Tamandua tetradactyla: one gene and its partners. The protein of the gene in region 3 interacts with the protein of the main gene of each other region in a pairwise test. Links are inferred from orthologs where the notes say so. Each region holds a gene or a part of one and is shown on either strand. Other genes may lie near its edges. The genes, in order: STX6, STX16 and NAPB.

Region 1 (7,477 bases), on a different chromosome or scaffold from region 3:
AGGTGCCCCTGCAACGATAGAGTAAAGCGCTCTGCACGTCATTATATACCTGTAAACAACGTTTACAGTGACCATCAAATAGATACACCATAAATTTTCCATCATGTCCTAATGTTGGATATATAAGTTGACTAGAATTTCTCCTTGTTTATTTTATGTCAGTGTGTAGAGTGTGAGGATGGGGGTATTGGCAGCAACCAAGGGGAGGAAAGAAAACATACCCAGCATGTGGCTATGTGAGGGGACAGTTCCTGCAGTGGGGGGTGGGAAGTGTGGACAGACTTAGCAGGATCACTAGAAGCCAACAGGACCAAATGTTTCCTGGACTGTCCCAGAACAAATACCTACATACATGCACATCACAGTTTTTCAAAGGTTGGGATAATGATGAAGAGTATAATTCCTTATTATCTATGTAATACTTTTCCTTCCTTGCTCTGCCTTGTTTTAGAAAGGAATTACGGTGTTTTGCAAAATGCTTTCACATATATCCTCCCAGCTGATCCTTATGACAACCTAACTAAGGAACAAGTTGGGTATTATTGCTCCCATTTTAGAGAACGGAGGGCCCCTTGTAGGGGTCTTATGGAAATCCCACACTCGTGGGGGCGAGGGTGGCTACCTGCCCCCATCTCCCTCAGGTCCATCCTAGCATACTTTGCAATAAGATGTGATTTGATCCTTTCTGATCCTTGTCCTCACTGGCTCCGTGGCCCGGCCACCTGTGCCCTATTTTCTGCATTGGCATCCCCTTATTGCAGCACAAGATGCCTTGCAGGACCCCAGGAAACTCCCTCCATTGCTCACTCTCCTAATTTTAGAGATTCACTCAGGGCCCAGAGGTTCTTCTGGATGCCCCTGTCAGGCCTCTAGAGAAAAGTCAAGTTGGCATGTCAGTCTCCTCCAGCAAAATGAATGAACTTAAGTGCTACGGTTTGATAATATACACCTTTATCAAGACCATCACCCCAGAAAGTTTCCCTTCCAGTCAGCCTCCTTTCTCCCCACCAAGCAACTCTTTTCTTGATTTCTTGCTCACTGAAAATGTATAATTCATTTTGGGGGGATGGGGGGTGGGGTAGGTCCATGGTTTTATGCTGAGTATTCTTCCCAAGCTATTGTTCATGCCTGGGCCTAGTTAAACTAAAAAGGCAAGAAATGACTTCCTTTATTTCTCCTCGCTTTTTGGCTATAGCTTCCCTTTCCCTGGGCAAGGGAGGCCAAGGTCTAGATTGAAAGAAGGTAAGGGAGGGTGACATATTAAACAAAGAGACACGTTCCTCACCCCCCACCCTACCACCCCCATAATACATTTTATATCTCAACCCTCCACAATCTAGATTGTTGGCACTTTTTCCAAACTCCGAATTATGAACATTCTGTAGGCCTCTGTCCTCAATCCTCTATTTCACTTATTGTAAAACTCGGACCTCTCGTTTGTGATCCAATTAATAAAACTCATGCAACAGATAATATGAGGCTGTTCTAGACATTGAGGTGATAACATTATAAAATAGTATCCCCTCTCTCCAGGAGTTTCCAGTTTAGTAGAAAAGACCAAATATGCTAACAGCTAATTTACATCTACCCTAAATCTAATCCAACTCCAGTGTTCTCTTTCTTGGGTGAGTGGAGCTAACAATTACCCACTTACAACGTAAGAATCCTGCAAGCCTTCTTTCCTTCTCTTTCACTAACTCCCGCATACCCCCAACCAGTCACCAAGCTTACTACCCTAAAATAATTCTCAAATGTATCCCTCCTTTCCATCCTACTTGCTGTGGGCCAAGCTCAGGGCACCCCTCCCCCCTCCCCTGGGTCATGACTTCGCAGCTGACATTCTGATTTTGGCAACACCTGTGTCAAGTGTGAATCTAAACCTGTCCATTCCCTCCGTCCCCGGGAGCTACAGGAGAGTTCTCAACAACAGGATCAAGGGCTCCCATCATCCCGCCCTGCCCACCTCCAGCCGCAGCTCTGGCAGCCATCACCCCATCCCTTCCACTCCAGCAATGCCCCCTGCATGGCTCCCTTTCTGGCCATCAGGCTGCTCCATGTGGTGGTGCCTTTGTTTAGAATTCCTTCTTCCTGGCAGCCCCGTTCTCCTGGCTGCCTCCTCCCCCCACACACAAATAAACGGGTACCTTGGCTCTGTGTTTCTATGGCAACCTGTGCCCTTCTCTCTCTGTGTCTAATTGCCTGCCTCTCCCACAGGGCTGAGAGTTCCTTGTTCATCTTTGTATCCTCAGTGCCTGGCACATAGTAGGAGTTCAATATGTGCCAGGCCACGTTTAAACACCTTTCACACACCAACTAATTAAATCCTTGTGACACCCTATGAGGGAGTTATTATGGTCCACATTTCACAATGGAGTATGGTGAGAGATTAAGCAACTTGCCCAAGTGTTGTGGATTGAATCATGTCCCCCACAAAAGGCCTGCTCAGGTCCCAACCCCTGGTCCTGGGAATCCATTTGTTATTAGGTGAGGTGTACCCAAATTGAATGAGTGTGGATTTTAATACAATATGGCTGAAGTCCTTATAAGCAAAGAAAATTGGACACAGAAAAAAAAAAGCTACAGGGAAAGAAGCTGGAAGACAACTGAACCCAGAAGAGAAAGGAGAAGACACCATCATGTGCATTGCCATGTGCAGTAAACCAAGGACCCAAAGATCGCCAAGAGCCAGCTCCAAAACTCCAGAGGCTGGTGAGAACCCATCTCCTTACTGACACCTCAATTTTGGACTGCTCCTAGCCTCAAAACTACGAGCCAATAAATTCCTGTTTTTAAGCCAACCCATTGTATGGTATTTGTTTTAGCAGTCAGGAAACTGAAACACCAAGGTATGACAGGAAGTAGCAGAATTGGGATCTGAACGTAGGCGGTCTGGTTCCAAAACATGCTTCTTAATCACTATGCTCACTTGCCTTTCAATGCAGCATTTTTGATGAATGAATGAATGATGCTTCATTTTCACTTCCATCACCATACTTCCAACACCAAATAGTTGCCTTTCCCCACATCTGCCCCTTGCTTCTTCTCCAGGGTTTCAGAGAAGCATAGAGTCATTTTTGACTTTCACGTCTCTCCCTTCCCCACCCTCATTCAATCTTTCCTCATGTCTACATGTTTTGGTTTTTTTTATTCCTTTGAAACCCCTATCCAATTTACTCCTTCCTCTTCATTTGCATTTGTTATCATCCTGGTCTGGCCCTCATTCCTTTGTGACCTGGTGACCACAGCAGCTTCCTGACTCACATTAGCATCCTGACTTTACTCCCTCACTCTTCTGGAGTGTATGGTTCTTATGCATTCTTATTTAATCCTCATAACAAGCCTTGAGCTAGGTATTATTATTTACATTTTATAGATGAGGAATTGAATCATAGAACCCAAGTTCAAATGGGGTTTGTCTGACTCTGAGGACTCTGCCATCTGCAAAGAGACTAGTGACCTCGGGTGAGTCACATAACCTGTGTTTCAGACTTCTCACCTGCGAAATGGGCATAACAACAGGAATTTTTACATTGTGAGAGCAACTGAGGTAACACTTAGCACAGTCCTGTCACTCAGTGATTATTAGTAATTAAAGTCGACAACCCCCATCCACAAAACCCATCGCATATCTAGCATATGAGCTGGCTAATCACCCTGGCCAAATGCTTTCTGCAAAAACTTTTCAGGGGAAGTTGCATATCTCACCTGTTCTTAATCTTCCAAAGTTTCTTGCTCCTGGGAAGCACTATATGCTTTAGGAAAAAATTATCTTACGTAGCCATTTGCAAATGTGTAGCAAAAGGAAATACACCCCAGACTGGCGGAAAGCGCACAGAATCTGTAGCTCAGCACTGTGCAGGCTGTGACCACAGTAAATTTTGAAACCACTCTTTCCATTTTTTTCTTGTCTACAAAATGGGAATAATAACTGCTTCTCCACAAGAATATTGAGATAATACATACTACAACCTTTAGCACGTAATATGGTAAGAACTACATAATCTTGCATAACATTATTATAATCAGATAATATATATGACCATGCCTCATTGTAAACTGAGGAAGAGATGAATTGACAAATCATATATTATCAAAATAAATATTAAAAGGAGAGAAAAGGTAAAAGGATCGTGCACATCAGGTACCACCACTGCTTATCCTGAGAACAGGACTGACTTCAGAGCGAGCTGCTCTTCCCCCTCCAGCCTGAGAGGGGAGGTGGGGGCTGACCGCCCCTCCTCCGTCGTCCCCAGAAACCCCGCCCCCAGGGTTGCGTGGTGCTGAGTCCCGACTCCGTCGGCGAGGGGCGGAGCCGGCCCTGATCACGTGAGCGCGGGTGCGGAAGTGGTGTTGCGCGCCGCGTTCCTGGTTGGCCCGGGCTTAGAGTCCTGGGGGCGGGGCTAGGCCGCAGGACGCGCCTGGAGGAGCCCGGGTAGAGGCTGCCGCGGGGGACGGCGCCAGAGTCGGGGAATCCTCCCGGCGTCGGCGACCAAGTGCTGGTCCAGCGGCTGTCCCGTGCATCCCGACTTGCGCGCGCGCCCGCTGCTCTGGATTCCCCAGGCCGCAGCGCCGGAGGCTGCCCTAGGCCAGTGGGTGGACGGAGGGAGGCCAAGGAGGGCGCGGGCGTCCTGTGCGCCGAGCAGGCGGGAGGGGACTGGGGGCCGAAACGCCATGTCCATGGAGGACCCCTTCTTTGTGGTGAAAGGGTGAGTGTCGGCCGAGGGCTGCGCTGGAGGAGGGGGCGTCTGTAATGTCTACCTGCACCTCTCCGCTCCTCTCGCTATAGGGGGGAGGGGAGGCAAGTTGAGACTGGGGAGAGGACTGTGGAGACGGCTTGGCTTTTAGAGCCATGACCAAGAGTCTAGAAGCATCCCCTCCCAGTTACACCTGGACTGTGGAACTCGCGCCTCAACCACGCCCCTGGTGGGGGGCCCCTTCTGGCCTGGGCGCTGCGGCACAACTTTTTGAGGGCTCGAGGGGTTCAGCAGCTCTGCAAGTGGGAAGGGAGCACGAGTCCTAGCCATAACTAGGGTTCTGGAGCAGGCGACTCTTTTCGAAGAAGGGAAAACATCATCTGGGCAGGAAAAGGGAAATGGACCTTCTGGGCTTTGTAGTTAACGTGGACGGGGGTGAGCTCCCATTGTCCTTTGAGCTCGGAGCTCCCGCCCGCACACTGTGGAGACCACAACATGCCCAGAGGCGTCTGAGCACGTTTGGAAAGAGGGAGGCGGGGACGTGTTGCACCGGAAGACAACCTAATTCTGTGGGGGAGTTTTTACCGAGCACGGTTATGAGAGGAAAACAGCCGTCCGTGCTCAGTGATGTTGTTGAAAGGAAAACAGAATGAAATCAGCCAAGCTAAACTTTCCTCAGCTTTCTGTTAGCAGCCGGGATTTTCCCACAGTGCTAGAGGAAATGAGTGGTTTCTTTTAACTCCCTGATTTCAGCCAGGCTGTTTCATAGGTTTCCCCCATTTCTTCATATTACTCTTTTCAGAATAGAACTGCCTGAATTTATTTTTCCCTGTTGTCTCGAATTCAGCTTTGATTATCCGATGGTTTGTTTGGAGAGGGAAACTTGAATCTCACTCTGTATATCAACTTTATAACCATTAAACAGATGCAAGAAGGATCTGATTCTGTTGTTGTGACATACCTAGTAACTTGTCAGTTTCATGTTTTAAATGTCAGACTTCAAAATCTGAGAACTCCAAAGGTCCTAGAAGATCAGTACTAATAACCATAAGATGTCCCTTTTGCTTTCACCCATTTACTACTAACTTTTTATTTCTCTAGTGGTCAGAGCTGGGTATTTGTTGTTTTTAAGAGTTCTCTCATCCTTTCTTCTCGGAACATTTAAATGGTACTTTAGGTGAAATATTTTGTTATCCATGATACAGTAAAGTATATTTATACTACTTGTTAACATTTCCCTAGAAGGGTTTTTTTTTTCCATCTTACTTTAATTTAGACGTGAAAATGCTGATATACTGGTAATATGTGGCACTCTACCTGGAAAATTTATTGAAAGGATTGATTTAGGGGTTAACTTTTAAATTTTAAAACCGTATATTTTCCCCTTGAATGAAAGTTATTAATGTGTAGGTTGCAGAGGTTATCTCTGGCAGTGGAGGCTAGAGATCATTGTTAAGTTTGTTTATTTGAGTTTTAATGGAATTTGCGAAAACCCTAAATTGCTCTGCCATCTTGTCCTTTGTTTCCTGACATTATACAATACAGTTGTTGAGTGCTTGCTCAACAATTAGATACTATTGCTGTTTTGGAAAATTGGGCTGGAGTTTTGGTTGACTTTTCTAGTACCTCATTTTACCTTCATGTCCTTAGGGTGTCTGAAGAAGAAAGATTCTCGATACCTTTTGCAGTAGGGAGGTAAAGTCATATACTGGGTTTTGTCACACTGTGAGATGGCGTATTTAGGGAGCCAGGTAATGCTGTTTATTAAAAATACTGAGAATGCAGCATACCTTGTGGAAAAATTAAAGATGCCTGACTTATGGCCCCTGGCTTAGGAGTTTAGTCTGATTTAGGGAAAAAATCCACCCCAAGATGGCACAGGTGGTAAATGATTAAGTGCTGAAGTGAGTGCAGAAAATAAGTGCCCCAGGAGTTCAGAGAAAGGTAACTTCTCAGTATTTTTGATAATTGAAAAAGCATTTTGGAAGTAGTGGTAGGTCTTAAACTAGGTTTTGAAGGTGGGTAGAATTTAGGTAGGCCCATATCTCTCATTTGAACTGTCACCAAAGAGTCTCTTAACTGGTCTTCCTGCTTCCATTCTCTTACCCTTATGATCCACCCTTGAATGGGTCCAGACCAGCTGTCCAATAGAAATATAATGTGAGCCACAGTAGGTCATTTTACATTTATAGTAGCTACCCATGAAGAGTAAAAAAGTAAGTTGTAATGTTTTATTTAACGTAATATATTCAAAATATTATTTCTACATGTGACTAACAAAGATTCTCATATTTTACATCTTTTCCATACTGAGTCTTCAAAATCTCTTGTGTGTTTTACACATACAGTGTATCTTAATGCAGATGCTAAATTTTCATCAAAAAACTTGATCTGTTGTTTGGTTTCATTAACTCTGCAGTTGAAAAAGTAGATTCACTTACCCAAATTGTTACATGACATGTTTAAAAGTTTTACAATAACTTATTTGCATGTCAACTTTAAAATTTAAATTAATTAAAATTTAAAATTCAATTCATTAGTCATACTAGCCACATTGCAAGAGCTAAGTAGTTACATGTGGCTCCTGTGTTAGAGAGCAGAGGTATAGCCTTTCCGGAACTCAGGCCAGGGAGGGTATCTTAGTTCATATCATTTAATGTTAACTGTTGCTTACAGAATAAATTCCAAATACTTTATGACCTGCAGAATCCAACCCCTTTTCTACCTCCTCTCACCTCCGCTCACTCTGCCCACCTTCAACCTCAGTGTTTCAGCAATGCCAG
Region 2 (7,878 bases), about 10 Mb from region 3:
GGAATAGAAGGCTAGTGTCTTAATTATCCAGTATCCTCTCCTGCAGCATAGATTTAATTTTCTCTTTCCATTCATCCATTCTATAAATGCTTTTTACACTAGACACTAGGTGGCACTAAGCCTGGAAGAAAGAGTTCACTGGGCAGAAGTAGGGAGACTGGGGGATCCTCTAGGCAGAGGAGACCACATGTGCCCAGGTCTAGACTGAGAGGCTGTCCATTTGGGTGGGGTTGTTGGGAAGGTCCTTGACTGCCAGGCCTTCATCCCAAAGGGCTCTCCACCAAGCTGAAAGAGCAGAACGCCCATATGAGAAAATGGGGGGAAAAAAATTTTTTTTTTAATGAATTCATGAGTCTGTGAGAAATCAGAGACATCTTATACTATATTCTCAAACAGCCAACTGGTAGCAGGGACCAAAGAATTAAGAGAAAGTGATGGAAGAAACACTTAAAATGGAGGCTCTTCTATCAGTTAGTTTAATTTTTTTCTGCCAACCAAGAAAAGACCGTCGTTGGTTAATGGTGGTGATGGCCTGGCTTGGTTCAGCAGGAGCACCTGTTTTCTGCCAAGCGTGGTCTGAGACCTGCTGGTGTGAGCCAGAGGGAGCTGTTTCAGGGCCTCAATCAGGCAGTGACATGATCAGATTTGTGCTTTGGAAAGGTCACTGCAGCTCCAGGGTAGAGGATGGATGGAGGGAAAGAGACAGTGGATGTCAGGAGACTGTTGCTGAAACCCATTTGATGCGAACCAGGACTTGAACAGAGGTAGCAAACACTGTGAATTCCTTGAAGGTGAAGATTTTGCTCTGTCTCCTTGCTTTTACCAGCGCCTGGCCACAACGGGACACAGCTGCTGCTAGACTTTTAGAATGCCTACCAAATGGCATTGTTTGGATATAGAAAGGTAATGGAGTCTGGGAAAAAAACTGAAATACTGCCTTACTCTAGGGCCTCTGCTTGGGAAAGGCATTGTGGCAGAAGATGGGCAGAGCTGGGAAATCTCCTAAGCTTGAAAATACTCAAGATTTTGAGAGCTATTTGGAGAGACAGAATGCAAAGCTGCTATTTCCTGAATCTGGCCAGAACTCTGCTGGTATGTCAGATCTGTGGAGATGAGACATTTTTTAGCCTTGGGAACTTTTTCTGCTTATCTTGATAAAAAATGACCATTGGCCCTCCTTTAGGATCTGGAAAGTACAAAGTTAAAATACATCCATTTGAGACCATGATGTCCCAGCTTCCACCCGAGGGTACATCATAGACCCATCTGGATTTCCAATCAACAGAACAAGAATCTTGAAAGTGTCCTTGGATGGCATCCAGTTCCCACCACCATGCCCTCCACTTTGGAGTTTGATGTGGTATCTTCCAGAGGAGGCAGAATGCATGTGTGCTTTCTATTGGCAAGACCACTCCTCAAATGAAGCACACGACCCACTTATGGAGTCCTTGTTATACGCTGGCCTGTGGAGGGGCTTCAGGAGCCCTGTCTTAGGAAAACATCTTCACCAAAGGGTGTGAATCTTGCATTTTGTCTAATCACTAACCTGTCAGGACTTGAAAGCCTTCTCCTGCCATTGTCTGTCTTCAGCAGGGAAAGCCCATGTTTATGGTTCCCTTCAGCACTGATTAAGATGGCAAAAAGACAATACAACACTTGTCCCCAAAAGTGACTTCTTGGATCATCAGCAAAATGTTAGAAAGTGGGTACAAAGCCCAAGAAACAGGACACCGAGGCTCTTTAAGCTCAGGGAGTATCACAGAATCTTATCCCAGGCCAAAAATGAGTCACAATGAAAGCTTTTAAAATATAAAACCATCAACCTAGATTTCAATTCCAAAGAAACACATACTTGGCCATGAGGGAACGCTTAAAAAAAAAGAAATCAGTCTTAAGCCACTCCACAGGAAAATAAAACAGCCAAGGAACATTCAAATAAAATGATTTACACCCTTCCCCACCTCCCCTCCAATGTGAGTCCAGGCGCCCATCGACACACTTGAAGCCAGTATGCACACTGGCTGAGCCACCCTTCTTTTCACTTAACACTATTTCACGCACACAACCCCGGGCCTGGACTGGGTTATAACTGCACAGTGAGACCCTTGGGTTGCTATGCCAATCTCATGGATTCTCCATGATTTCTCTGCTGTTGGGCTCTTGGGTTGTTTGAGGGTGGCTGTTTTGGGAATATGAGGATTTTTTTTCTTCCGTTATTTATGCGTGCAAGCACTGTTCATTTCTCTCCAAGAAATGGAAGCTTGATTGATTTCTCATAAGAATGAGATTGTCCCACAATAAATATTTAAGGCTGACCAGGAAGGGCCACCACCATCTGCTGAAACACAAGCCCAGGAATTACTCTGTTAAGCTTTCCAAGCAGAGGGAATGAATGAATAACCACCCTCTACAATATTTGCTCAGCACCTGATAGTTTACAAAGCATTTTCACTTATCTCCTTTGATCTTCACAATAGCCCCAGAGAGGTAGGCAGGGGACGGATTACAAGGATTATTAAACCCCACATTTTTTCTCTTTCTTAACAGATAAGGGCTCCACAGGCTCAAAGTCACTTGAGGAAAGTCATATAGTTTGGGGACTAAATCTCGGGTGTCTCATTCATTCATGCACATTTTTAACGTTGATGAGCTGCCTGTTCCAAGCCTGATGATCTAGCGGTGGGTACAAAGATGAATAAAACACAGTCCCCGCGTTGGAGGAAGATGGGGTTCTAGCCTGGGGAAAAGAACCAGAAGTAAACAAGTCACTGCTTTGCTTGAGGTGATGAGTGCTCAAGAGAAAGGAACAAAGTGTGGAGAGCATTTCTAATCTCATGTTCTTATTTACAAATACTTGTTCTCTGAAGCAGGAAACAGGGGGGCTTGCAGTTTGACTCAAATCAGATCTCACTATGGGGGATCCTGTGCCTGTGGGAACAGAAGTCTCCTTCATTCGGCATACATTTCCTGGGGTGCTGGGCTAAGCCCAGAAGTCCATGCACAGGCTCCCCGAATTTCCCTCTAAGACACATTAAGTCGGGGTCTCTGCCTTGATACCGGCCTCTCCATCTCCCCTGCAGGCCCCCTGCAGTTACACGCAGCGGCTGCCAGTGGCTGCGGGGTTTTGGAGCATCTTCCACCGCTCAGGATGATTTTCCCAACAAGCGCCCCTTTTTGCGCGCGTGTCTCCCCTCTCCCCCAGCTCTGGGAGACATTGCCCCTTCCTGGAAATTAATTCGCTCGGCCCAGCTCTCTGGCTTTCTCGTTTCGTTTTCTTTTCTTTCTTTCTTTCTTTTTTTGGTAATGCATTTTTGATATTTTCCCCCAATATTTTTAAAAATTAATTTTTAGTTACACAACCAATGGACAGAAGCATTCTCCTTTAAAAAAAGAACGTATTCTGTCACCAGCAATTTCGCTGAAGCCCCTCCGGGGACCCCGGCGCTGCACCCGGGTCTTCCGGTACTTTCCATCGCAAAGACTCTAGCGGCTCACTGAGCATCAGCGGCTCGCCCCTCGCCAGGCTGGGAGCTGTTCGCGAGCCGCGGATGCAGGCTTTGTGCTTCGTTTTGCTTCGCTCCTCTTTGCAAGCCCAGACCTTAGCACACGGCAAAAGCTTGGAACAAATACACGTGTGTGTAAAGTTGAATTCAGAAGCAAGTGTATGAATGAGGGCCTGCATCCAGATTCTCCAGGGCCTGTTTTTTTAAAAAACAAAAACAAAAACCTCCCTTCCGAGCCCTGCCTCGCAGCACCGTCGTGGTCCCGGCTCCGCCGGGAAGAGAAAACCGTCCCTGCCCGTGTCCCCGGCCCCGCTCCCCGACCCCGACCCGCCGCTCTCGGCTGCGGCCCCGCGGCGCCCGGCGGGTCGCTGGAAGCCAGGCGCTGGGAACCGCCACAGGTCTCCTCCTCGCCCCTGCTCGCCATACTCGGGCTCGGGCTGCTCCGCGCAGCCCGATTCCGCTCGCCCCACAAGGCAGGCGGCATCTCGGGGCGCAGCAGCTGCCCCCGACCGGGTTTGCAGGAAACCAGCGCCGGGGGTCTCAGCCTAAGGGGAGGAAAAGGCGGGCGCAGAGGTCCCCGCCTGGCCAGAGCTAAGGGGAGCGCGGGCCCCGGGCCCGGCCCTGCAACCGGCACGTGCGGGCCCACCCGGGAGAGAAAAGTCGTAGGTTTTTCTTTTGGGTGGGAGGGGGGAGGAAGGTGTCAAAGTTTTCGGGGGAACTTTTCCACTTCAGATTCCACAACCCTGCAGTGCCCCCTACAGAAAGTGGCAGCTGGGGCGGGCGGGGGCCCCTGACCCCCGACTGGCTGCCGCGTCGCTGGAGGCCGCGGCCCAAGCGGACCTGCAGCTCGCCCTTCCTTTTTTTTCCCCCCTTGTTGTTTTACGGATAAATCTTTTTTCAGAACAGAAAAAAACCCGAGCGAGCCGCGCCGCCGCCTGCAGTGGAGCGTGCTCGGCCTCCAGAGGCAGTCGTCTCCAACTTTTCTCCTCCTCACTCGCCCGCACGCCGCGTGCTCAGCGAACTTAGGCTCTGCGGGCGCCCAGATTTGCCTGCCGCGCAACTTCCACTCTTAACTGTAGGCGCCAAGGCCCCTGGCACGAGTTTGCCGCCTGGGGCCCACACTTTCGAGGCTCGGGCCTCCATGTTCGCCCGCTCCTGGTCCCCGGGCCCGCTCGGGGAAGGGAAAACGGGGCGCCCCGGGAGTACCCCGGGAGAGAAGGCGGAGCGCTCCCGCGCCCGGGGCTGAGGGACTGGGAGCTCCCGCGCCCGGAACGTTGCGAGCAGGGCTTATGAGTGTCGCAGGGGGGCACTCGCGAGAGACGGACAGGAAGAGGGCCAGGGGGAACTCCAGAACCCGGGACCACAGCACGGAAACGGCCCGGGGCAGAACTGCAGTCAGATCCCGGGATGGAGGGAGACGGAGAAGAGGAGTGAGGAGGCCGGGAGGCAGGCCCTGCTGCCTTCCCGGAGGCCGGCAGCCGGCTAGCAGTGGAGAAGCAGGCCGCCCAAGACGGGGGGAGGGGTCAGGAGTTCGGGCCCGGGCCGTAGCAGGCCCAGACACAGCTCAAGAAGGGGGCGCCAGGCGCCCTGGAGTTCATAGCCTAGGCCTGGCTCTGATTGCCTTAGGAGGCCTAGGCCAGGCCCCTGGTGGGGAAACTGAGTCAAGGCCAGGTCTTAGGGCACGGCCTAGACGCTCAAGAGCCACGTTAGGGGTAAAGGGCAGAGATCCTTGAGGGTCTCAGGGACTAAGGGGGGTAGGGGGCTTCAGGGCCTCCCAGTCCAGAGCCGGATTGGCGAGTTAGACGCTTGTAGATCCAAGGTTGGATTGGGGTGGGGGTTCTGGGACGTTGGCTCGCAACGCAAGGATTGGGGGGATTTAAGTGCTTGGAGATCGAAGTTAGGTCTTGGGTAGGGGGAGTCAGACAATTGGAAAGCCTAGGTGGTTATTTGGGGAGGGGTCTTTGCGCCAGGACGAAGCGCAAAGCTGCTCCTCTTTGGCTCCAGGCCTGAGAGGCCTTGTCAAGAGAGGCTTCTGTGCTGGGTGGGCCGGGTTAGGCCAGTCCAAGAGAAAGAAAGTGAATAAATCAGGATTCTAAGTGGGCGGGGGGCCCCTGAGAGGGGGGTCACAAAGGGTGAGACATGGCCACCAGGCGTTTAACCGACGCTTTCTTGTTGTTGCGGAATAATTCCATCCAAAACCGGCAGCTGTTAGCCGAGCAAGTGAGTAGTCACACCACCTCCAGCCCTCTGCATTCACGTAGCATTGCTGCGGTGAGTCTCCCGGCGGCGTCTCCTACACACGCACCGTGTGCACTGCGGCTGTGTCTGTCTGTCTGTCTCTGTCTGTCTCTCTGTTTTTAAAAAAAGAAGATAAGACTAAGAATAATATGGATATGCAAGGCCTCTTGGCTAGGGTCCCTGGATGGGGGAAAACCAGCATTAGGCCCTTGCTCCACCTCTGCCTTGCCCTCTCTCCTCACTTCCGCAGCCCTCCCAGTCCCCCCTCCCGCCTCCCCATCGTCACAGCACGACCGGCTGCCTCCAATTTGCATATGTTGTAACAGTAAGATTTGGAAGTGTGGAGTCTTTCGGAAGGCTTTTTGTTTGATTTGTTTTGCATCCTCTTCCCACCCCCATATTGGTCCTAAGAGCTGGATTACAGGACCAACCGTCCCAAATCCTTGCAAGTGAGCTCCTCCCTCCCTGAAAGGAGGAAAGAGGTTTTTCCGACCGTGGTCTTTTAATGGCCTCGCAGCCCTCTGTGTGGTCGTGTTCCCTATGAATAATTGCTTCACTGTTTTTCCTGGGGGCTCGTGCTTGTGAAACAGTAAGGTGCTAGGCCCTTCAGTTTTCCATTTCCTAGACAGGAAATTCAGCTTTCCCTTCGATTCGAACTTTTTTTTTTTTTCAAAGCATGGTGTGTATGTGAAAATTAACCTCCAAAATAGCACTTTTTTTTTTTAATTAACCTGAAACATCAGCCCAGCAAGTAGTCTTTTGTAGGGAGGTAGGAGACAGAATAGTAATGACTTTGTGTTTTGAGGGGGGCTGTTTTCCTCTTCTGAGTGTCAGTTTCCTGCTCTGTTAAATGAGGGGTGGGTTTGAGTGATGTATACATGATAACAATTCTTAGCTCTCTGATATCCGAAATGGAAGAATGAAGTTGTGAAACTAGTCACAGTAGGGGGAAGACAGGCGAGGTTCGAATAGAAGCAGTAATGCGGAATGAAGGAGTCATCCCAAGACCAGATCCTTGGAGAGGATACTTGATATATACAGCTTTGGGAATCTTACAGTTATTTCACCTTTCAGGGACTGTAGTGCCTTAATTTATTTTTCTTTATGATTTTATCTAAGTGCTGCAGAAAAAATTGTGCCATGTGTCTTGATTATTGACAGAGAGGGTCTCTACAAAGACAGTCTTTCCTTTCACTAAGCCACATGTGGAAAATGTCTTTGACCATATTACTCATGGAGAAAAGGCTATTTTAAGCCTTTGTCAGCAGTTTCAGGAATAAAATTAAGTAAACTCAGGTCAAAAAACAGGAACAGTGTGTTTGAGTTTTTATTTAGTTAAGAATTTGCAGGTTTTATGTATTTATAGACTGAAAGAAATTTTGTATTATACTGAGAAAAGTGTAAAGATGTCTGTTAGCTTGGAAATGGGCTGGTTCCACTGCCAATTTTGAGAATACCCTGAAATAAGCCAAGAAATAAAGGGTAGAAATGAAAAGAATAAAATTCCTCAGTGGAACTTTAGTTTTGTTAAATAAGAAGAATTATATGTTCCTTAATTGGCTTGAGGTTTTTGGCACCTCATGGAGGAAGAAAAACTCGGGTTAATGCTTCTAAGGGCTATCTGGTTCAATTGATTGAAAAGATACTGTTTGCTTTTAAAATTTTAATTACATAAGATTCAAATTCTTTTTTTTTCTTTAAATCAAGTCAAGATGGTTTAAAGACCTGGTGTCTGAGCCAGGCGGCTCTTTGAAAGTGCATCTTTAAGTCAGATCGCTTTTAACAGTGATTTTCTGTCAGACAATTTAAAATACGTGAGCTAATCAAATAATTAAAAACGGATAGCTGAATTATTCAGTTTGAAAAAATTGATATGTCAAAAAATGCACAAATACATTCAGCTAACAGACAGTTTCTTGAGAACAGATTTCTAAATCAAACCATTTTAAAATAGATATGCTTAAGTCAGAACATCAAAAAAAATTTTCTGTATAAGACATACGTTTTAAAATATTGCATACTTATATTAGTCTCACCATTTAAAATCTCAATTCATTAAAAGCAGCCAGGTCATTTATAATACTCTGGTAGTCAGTTCAGACTATCTAAAAAACAGATTTTGCTCTCAAACAAAAGT
Region 3 (7,814 bases):
GAAAAGTTTAGAATATATTATATTCTATAAATAAAAGTTGTGTCATCTTTACATTGATGCTCTTTTGCCATATTTAAAAGGATCCTCAAGTTAACCTCAAACCTTTCTTGTAGAAGTGAACATCAACTAATAAAAAGAATAACATCAACTAATGGCATCAATAAATATTTTCTCATAAATTCTTATTTTAACTTAGTTTATCATTTTCTGTTTCCTCTGACAGATTTGTGTATATTAATTTTACCTTTCCTAAATTTTCATCTAAATTCTAGAGAATCATTTCCTAAGGAAATATTACTTGCTAACAAAACTACATTTAGAAGTATTTGTAACAAATTTGATATGGTCTAAAATGACCCCCCCACCCGTCACCACCACCACACAAGCCACTAGTGCTCTGAGTTTTTAAAAAAATTCTTAATAAAACACATATTCTTCTCGACTTCCCTATTCAAATGCTGCTGGTTTTGCAAGTCCATGTGGAAAAGGTAAAGAATCACTATGAATAGAATAAAATTCTATCCTCAAAGCTGTGGAAAGGGCAGGAGCCCAGCCTCATCCACAACAGTGGAGAACATTTATTTTCATTCATTTGATCACTTTAAGGATTTTTGGATGAAGCTCCTCCAGAACACATGACTATCTTCCCTGTTTGCTAAAACAGAACACAGCCTGATTTGGCCTGTACTGAAGCTTCTGAGCCATTCCCCAGGCTACAGACAGAGAACCAAGGTGGGGATGACCCTAGGGCTGCAGGACCGTGGCAAGAAGAAAGACTGGTCCTCAGCCTGGTGGTCCAGCTCCAATGGATGGGGATGGAGGCCTAGCTAGCTCTCACCTAACTGGGTTGGCTTACAATATCCACAAATCCTTTGGCACTCTCCCACTAAGAGATGAAGTCTAAGTTCCCTCCCCTTGCATGGGTCTCAGTGATTCCTTCCTTCAGTGAAGTAGAAAGAGGCCTCAAAATTTCAAGGCCAGGTCTTAGCGGGTGGCGCAGCTTCTGTCTGGCTCACTCTCCTCCTACCCCCTGTCCAGCCAGATGTACAAGATCCCACAGAGAGAAGGAAGCTGAGGGATTGTTCCAGGAGACTGTGTCTTCTCAAATGTCAGGCATGGGCATGAAGATGCCTTTGAATTTACTCTAGCTCCAGCCACCGTTCTATGGGAGAACCACTCTGCTAGCCCAGCCAATCCCTTGAACCATAAGCGATAACATTAAAATATGATTATTTCTGTTTTACACTACCAAGTTTGATGGTTTGATGGCGAGTTGGCCATAGATGAGAATGCCGATTTATGAATTTACAAGGAATGACTGGACAGGCAACTGGAATATGCCTATGGGTCTTTAGCGCTCACTCCCCCTACCTTAGCTTATGACTTCTCAAAGGTGAAGAGGCATGAATTTCCTGTTGAATGAAGTTAATGAAACCCCCACACCTGCAGCATTCAAGCAGAGGCCAAAGCAGACCCCCAGGGCAAACGGCAGGTGCTGGTAGCTGGGACGAACAGGCATGGAGCTACTACGTGTTAATTAGGGGCAGAAGTTTCTTCCTGACTATGGAACCAAAAGCTGGCCAGGGGGATAGATTCCTGCATGAAATGAGCTCAGTTAGTAGCTGCTGCTGGATCACTGAGAAATGGGAGCGTCCCACACTCAGTTCTGAGGAAATAATTTGTACCTGCTCTGGATTGTCAGGATACCAGCCTCCAGCAGTTCCAGAGGCACCCTACATTCATACCCTTTGCCCTCTCCCTCCTTGTTAGACTTCCCTTAGGCCCCTCCCCATGCTGCACCCTCCTATGCACGGATGCAGGCAGAGAATCACACCTGCTTCCACACATCTTCTGACCCTACCTCTCTTGGCGCCAGGTGTGCTCAAGGACACGCATGTCCTTATAAGAAGAAGAAAATTTGGACCCAGGCATTGGGGAGAAAGCCATGTGAAGGCCAAGGCAGAGATTCCATGCAACAGCTAGCTGCAAATCAAGGATTGCCGAGGATGGCCAGCCAGCACCAGAAGCTAGAATAAGCCAGGGAGGATTCTCCCCAATGGGTTTCAGAGGGAGCGTGGCCGTGCCAGCACCTGGATTTCTGACTTGCAGCCTCCAGAACTGAAACAATGCATTTCTGTTATTCTAAACCTCCCGGTTCATGGTATTTTGTTACAGCAGTCCTTCAGTCAGTGTCTAAAGAGTCTCCTCTTTTCTGGCAAGTGTCCAGGGATGCTGGAAGGCCAGCACAGACTACTGGACTTAATGTAATGATAGAAATTACCTATATTTGTGCAATCCAAAGTGGGAGCCACAAGCCAGGTCTGACTATTGAGCGATGGAAATGTGGCTGATAGAAGTGGGATTTACATTTTTAACGTTAATTAATTTAAGCGTAAACCTAAATGGTCACAGGTGGTAAGTGGCTGCCCCACGAGACTGAATGACAGGTCCTTTGGCTCTACTCCAAGACAACTACCACTCCAAGGCATTTTCACTCCCTTCCTCCCGTGAATGGGGCTTCTCCTTTTCCCTCCTGCTTGCAGGATTCTTCTTCTGTCTCTCTAGCCAGTCCTTATTCTGTTTGTCTGTCCTGCCTCTCCACTTACTTAGCCTCTGGGCGGAGAAAGCACAGCATCCACAGAGCAATTAAATCTTTGAAGTTTTCTCCCACTTTGGTGTGTACTGGGGGTAGGGGTAAAGGTGGGGGTTCCCTCTGGTTTCCTGTGAGAAAGAACAGAGTGAGGAAAATGCCCAGAAATAACCGAAATTTTTGAGCCACCCCTGCCAACCAAAATGGCAAATTCTAGTTCAGAGGAGGCAGTCCATTCTAGATCATTTTAAGCTGACAACAGATTTGAAGATCTAGAATTGTGTGCTTTAGAATAGTGGTGGAGAATTCTTTTTAGAATGTACATTTCCTAGACTCAGGGAGAGGAGATTCTGGTACAAAGCTAACAGCCCAGGGGTCAGTGTTTCTTGAAGCTCTAAAGGAGTTTCTGTGTTGAGCCAGGTTTGGAAACTGCGCTAATCCCCACACTGAGACCCTCAGGAGTTTTTGAGTTGGCCCTTCCATTCAGTACCCACCGGCTGCTCTGCTTTTCAAATGCCTATGTCCTTCTTTTACCATTTTCTGTCTTTACTTCTGCATTTAATTCTGCCTTGTTCCCTCATACTGCTCCAAATGCAGGTTTTTGAAGTTAGCATAATGCATATAGTGTAAGCAAATAAGCTCTGCTTGAACATCTGAGATTTCCTCCTGTCTGCCGTGTCTTGCAATGTAATGTTAAGTAAAATAAAGCAACTGCCTGCATTGGGCATTGCCAGGAGGGACCCCTCTCTAAGAAAGGATTTTTCAGAAGACATAAAATGATTGACCTTCAGGGGCTTTTCCAGAAAATGGAACAATGAAGCACACCCTACAGAACTGCAAATAAACAACACCTGGTGATAAACCAGTTTCTGTCCAATAAAGTTCGTTTATCAGAATGGACTTTCTGATAAACCATATTAATCAATGCATATCTGCTTTCATCCCCCATGTAAAATGGAAATTTAATATCAGTCAATCAGAACATTTCTCCACTTGATTCCCCATTTGCCCTATATAAGCAACCTCTTTCCACCTTCTAGGTGGACCTCCTTTCCACCTGCAGTTTGGATGCTTCCTGACTCATGAATCATAAACAAATCAAATAAACTTCCATAATTAATAGCTTGTCTAATTTTTTTAACAATATGAATCCTGTGACACAGGTTTTATTTTTCTTTCTAGGAGTTTCATCTTTTCTTGCTTTGCTCTCTAAAGACAGGCTTCATTTTCTTAGATAAAGCTTGTGTGCCAGTCCCCACAGTGTATTTATTAATGGTTTGAAATTGTCACAAAGTCTCATTTGGCAGTGATTTTCATATTTGTTTCACCATCTCTGCTTTAGCATTGCCAAGTGTAAACAGTCTAGACATTGCATTAAAAAATAACTCTCTGTGGGTCAGGTCTGGAAATCTCTGGCACAGGAGAGCCGCTATATCTATAGAGACTTCTAGGAGGTTAGAAGTCTTTCTGGCAGGCAGAAATTTTGTCCCAAAAGACCCACTGCCTATGGGCAGCGTTATGTAAAGGATACAGGAACTAGATGGTGAACACAATTCAAATCAATATAAAGAGTGGATTATGCATATTAAATGCCAAAGTATTTATAACCAAGGAAGAGAGGACAGACAGAAAGCCGCTTTGGGGAGACTTAAAAATAACTGAATTTCTATTGGGGGAAAATGATACATTCTTAACCATCTTGCTCTTGAGAGATAAAACTGGCTCTGCCAGCTGTTGCCTTTTGGGTGGGTGGATGTGGGCATCACATTGGCTGATGGAATAACTTTCGGTAGCTGCATTAAAATTTTGGATTCCATTTTGCGGACTTTGCATCTATATTGAGAGTTTCGACCTGTATGTATCCCCTGATCCTTCACTATTCCATTGTCAGTGGTCCTGAGCCAACAGGATGCTGTGTGTTTTAGGTGGTCCTTACTGGAAGCTACCGGTCAATTCCCAGGGAGAACAGTGGTGGAGCCGCTAGAAGGAACTAGTCCCCGCACACTGCAAATACTGAAGTCCACCTAGGCCTCTGGGTCCTGCAGCAGGTCACGCCCCGCTTTCCGAACCCAGAGAACCTGGGGTCTGTGAGCTAAGATAACCCGTCCGCTCCGTGGCCTTCTGGGAAATGTAGTTGCCCCCTCGCGTCTCGCGGCCATCGCGGCAGTGCTATGGATTACACTTCCCGGCAGGCCATGCGAGCGACGCCTGCGCACTCGGGTTGCGAGGAGGGAAGCGGTATCGCGGAGGCTCGTCGCGAGCCGGCTGAGGAGCTTGTGGCAGCTGCGGCGGCGGCGACATGGACAACGCGGGGAAAGAGCGTGAGGCGGTGCAGCTGATGGCGGACGCCGAGAAACGAGTTAAGGCCTCCCACTCCTTCCTCCGAGGGCTGTTTGGGTAAGTGCCAGTCCGCGCGCGCCGGAGGGGCCTCGGTCCCGGGACCGCTTCCCCGCAGATTGCCCCCACGTTCACTCCAGGACCCACTAGCAACCCTCCAGATCCCTCCAAGGTCCTCAGCCCCATGCGCCCCCAGAAATCCCCATGGAGAACTCAAGTCCCCCAAGACCTCCAGACCCCTACGAACCCCCCAGGGCTCCTTCGGAGCTTCCGGCCCCCACGCCCTCACCCCTCCCGAGACGTCCCGGGGCCCTTCTAAACCCCCTCGTGTCCCCGGACCTCCAACCCCCGGTGCGTCCTCCGGCCTGTGCGGGCCGTGCGTTGGGATGGGATTCTCTGGCGGGGGGTGTCCGCGGCGCCCGGGCGCCCCCGCCGCCTGGTCGAACCCGCTGTACTCTTGGCTGCGGGGCTCCGGCGGTCATTTGGAAGACCGGTGCTCGACCCGGGCCCCGGGGCCTCAGGAGAGCAGTGCGGGGCGAGAGCACAGGTGGGTACGTCCGGTCCCCGTCGAGGGGTTCCGCATTTGGGGATCAGGTGCCGGTTTCCCTAGCGCAGGGGACCTTGCACCGAGTGGTCACTTAATGAACACTGGCTGAGTAGGCGAATGCGTTTTCCCAGCATAGTATTTTTTTTTTTTTTACTTTATTAGAGACTGATTTAACAGATGGGCCTCCTGCTCGGCTAAGGATCACGCAGCTCAGGTTTAAGTCAGTTTCTTTCGGGAAGCCCGTTAATTTGCTGTAATTCTCTCCTCTCCAAGAGGAGGTTTAAATTCGGGACCTCTCAGATGCAGCAGCGCCTGCACTGACAGCCCTGGGGAGAATTCTGGGCTGTTGAACGTTGAGTGATTCAGCTATTTAGGATGTGAGAGGCTGAAATTTCTTGTTTTTTTCCCCCTTCTTTTTGAAAGAGCCTCTGCTGACACCGAAAGCAGATTATTATTTATTCCTGAGAAGGACCAGTGTTGTACATGCTTACCCGTTGAATTATTAGACACAGTTTTATTTCTGTACAAATCCAGTTTGGAATCTTAGTTCCAAAAGCACAGGTAAGGGACTCCTCACTTTTTGTACCACCTTTGTGGCTACTTCTTCACAAAATGCTTAAGTGCAGATTTTATATAGTGTGGAGTAGTGTGGGATGCAAAGAGAGGTAAAGATAATGTTTCTGTCCTCAAGAGCCCCTCAGTTGGAGGGCACTTATCCCAACTGTTTTAACTTTTTCATGACTGCAGGTACTTTAAATTATGACAGTGAATTATAAATTTTGTTTACTTTTTAAATGTATATAGAACACAGCCTAAATACTTGAAGTCAACACCAAACATAACTCCTTTCTCTGCGTCACAAAACATTTACAATGTATTGAAATAAAATTGAATGTCATACACCTCATCCTCGGAGGTTATCTTAATGTCACACCATATTTCAGGTCAGAATGTGCTTTCCTAGGAGGGAATCTGCAGTTGGTAAAAGAGAAAAGCTCAGCATAACATCACTTGATGCTTCTCTCAGGCTTCCACTCCTTTTTATGAAGAGGTATTTTGTTGTTTTTGTGAAACTAAGTCAAATCTTGAGCCAGTAATCCTAAAAGATTTTTTGAAAAGCCTTTTTTTGGTTGTTTTAGAGAAACATCTCTTTTTCTCCGTAGACTTTTGATCACCTATTTCATAGACAGGCTGTCCAGGAAGACTTTCATCTTCACCGTTTACACAAAATTTGAACTAATGGCGTCCCAGCTTACCTAGACAATAGGTCAGGGATGTTATCCAAGCTTTGACTTGGGGCATGTGACTTACCCTGTGTGTCTCAGTTTCCTCTTTTGAAATGGGAATAATAGTAATAATAGAACATCTCACAGTTGTCAGAGTTCAGGAGTCTATGTGTGTAAAATGTTTAGAACTGTGCCTTTTGAGGATGATTGTGAAAATATTAGTTATAATATTCATCAAAATTGCCAGTCCCACTTTTTATTAAGGAAGCAACTGAGGGCCAAATGGATTAAGGGGGGTTTCTAGGATTCCAGAGCGAGAGACTCTTAGGACCAGATCATTGGTCTTTTAAATGAAATAAAAGGAGTAAAAGAGTTTTGCAATCAGGTAACATACCATATAGGTATTATTTGTACTATAAAGACTGTATGTTTCCATTGACACTTGGCTCCAGGAAAGCCAAGGGGGAGGAAAAGTACTTAGAGCTGCTTATTCATGAGAAGGGACTAGTCACCTATGTCTTTGGTGTGTGAGGCTGAAGTCCCGACTTGCCTGCCTGTTCTGTGAGATGCCAGGGTTCTTCCCGCATTGCCACCTGCTGAAAAAGAACCAAAGTAGACGGAAGCCAGCCAGGAGCCACTGTGAACAGGGTCTGTTTTTCCAGTTAACTACTGGTTGGTTAAACAGTGATAGGTCTTTGTATTTGTGGAATTAAATGAAAACTTACTTTCTGAAGGATATACTTTCTGAAGCATAGTAAAAATATTAGTGTTGTCATGTACTTTGTGGCCATAGACAAAAACTAAAGAATTCTGTAGTTAATTGCAGATTTTCATTAGAATCTGCTAAATTTTCATTTAGAAGCTGCTAGTAGGATTTTAAACTAGTGTGGGACTTTAAACTAGCGTGGTGGGTAGTTTTGGATTGCTAAGGGCTCCCTGAGTAGTCTCTCCATTTTGTTCCTAAGAAAACACAGGTTGTAGATCACCCACAGGATGATCTAAGAAAATAGTTGCTTGAGAATGATGGAATCTTGATGGTCAATCCTATTTTCCTTTGCTTTTGAGTGTCCTCCATTTTCAAAAGTTCATAAAAAAGCCATAAATCCATCAGTCT

What was found.
Region 1: the proteins of NAPB (region 3) and STX6 interact in binary tests that used the Homo sapiens proteins (3 or more experiments, as listed by UniProt). The two-hybrid records come from large-scale screens. The link is inferred for Tamandua tetradactyla from reciprocal best matches to the Homo sapiens genes NAPB and STX6.
Region 2: the proteins of NAPB (region 3) and STX16 interact in binary tests that used the Homo sapiens proteins (3 or more experiments, as listed by UniProt). The two-hybrid records come from large-scale screens. The link is inferred for Tamandua tetradactyla from reciprocal best matches to the Homo sapiens genes NAPB and STX16.

Annotation. Positions count from the first base shown.
Region 1 is NC_135330.1:35,928,261-35,935,737, reverse strand, and holds the start of STX6 (syntaxin-6), read left to right. Parts: upstream 1-4,409; 5' UTR 4,410-4,671; coding exon 4,672-4,706; intron 4,707-7,477. UniProt on the Homo sapiens protein: SNARE promoting movement of transport vesicles to target membranes. Targets endosomes to the trans-Golgi network, and may therefore function in retrograde trafficking.
Region 2 is NC_135327.1:26,691,327-26,699,204, reverse strand, and holds the start of STX16 (syntaxin-16), read left to right. Parts: upstream 1-4,830; 5' UTR 4,831-5,642; coding exon 5,643-5,774; intron 5,775-5,853; exon of another isoform or gene 5,854-7,878. UniProt on the Homo sapiens protein: SNARE involved in vesicular transport from the late endosomes to the trans-Golgi network.
Region 3 is NC_135327.1:36,697,792-36,705,605, forward strand, and holds the start of NAPB (beta-soluble NSF attachment protein), read left to right. Parts: upstream 1-4,809; 5' UTR 4,810-4,889; coding exon 4,890-4,987; intron 4,988-7,814. UniProt on the Homo sapiens protein: Required for vesicular transport between the endoplasmic reticulum and the Golgi apparatus.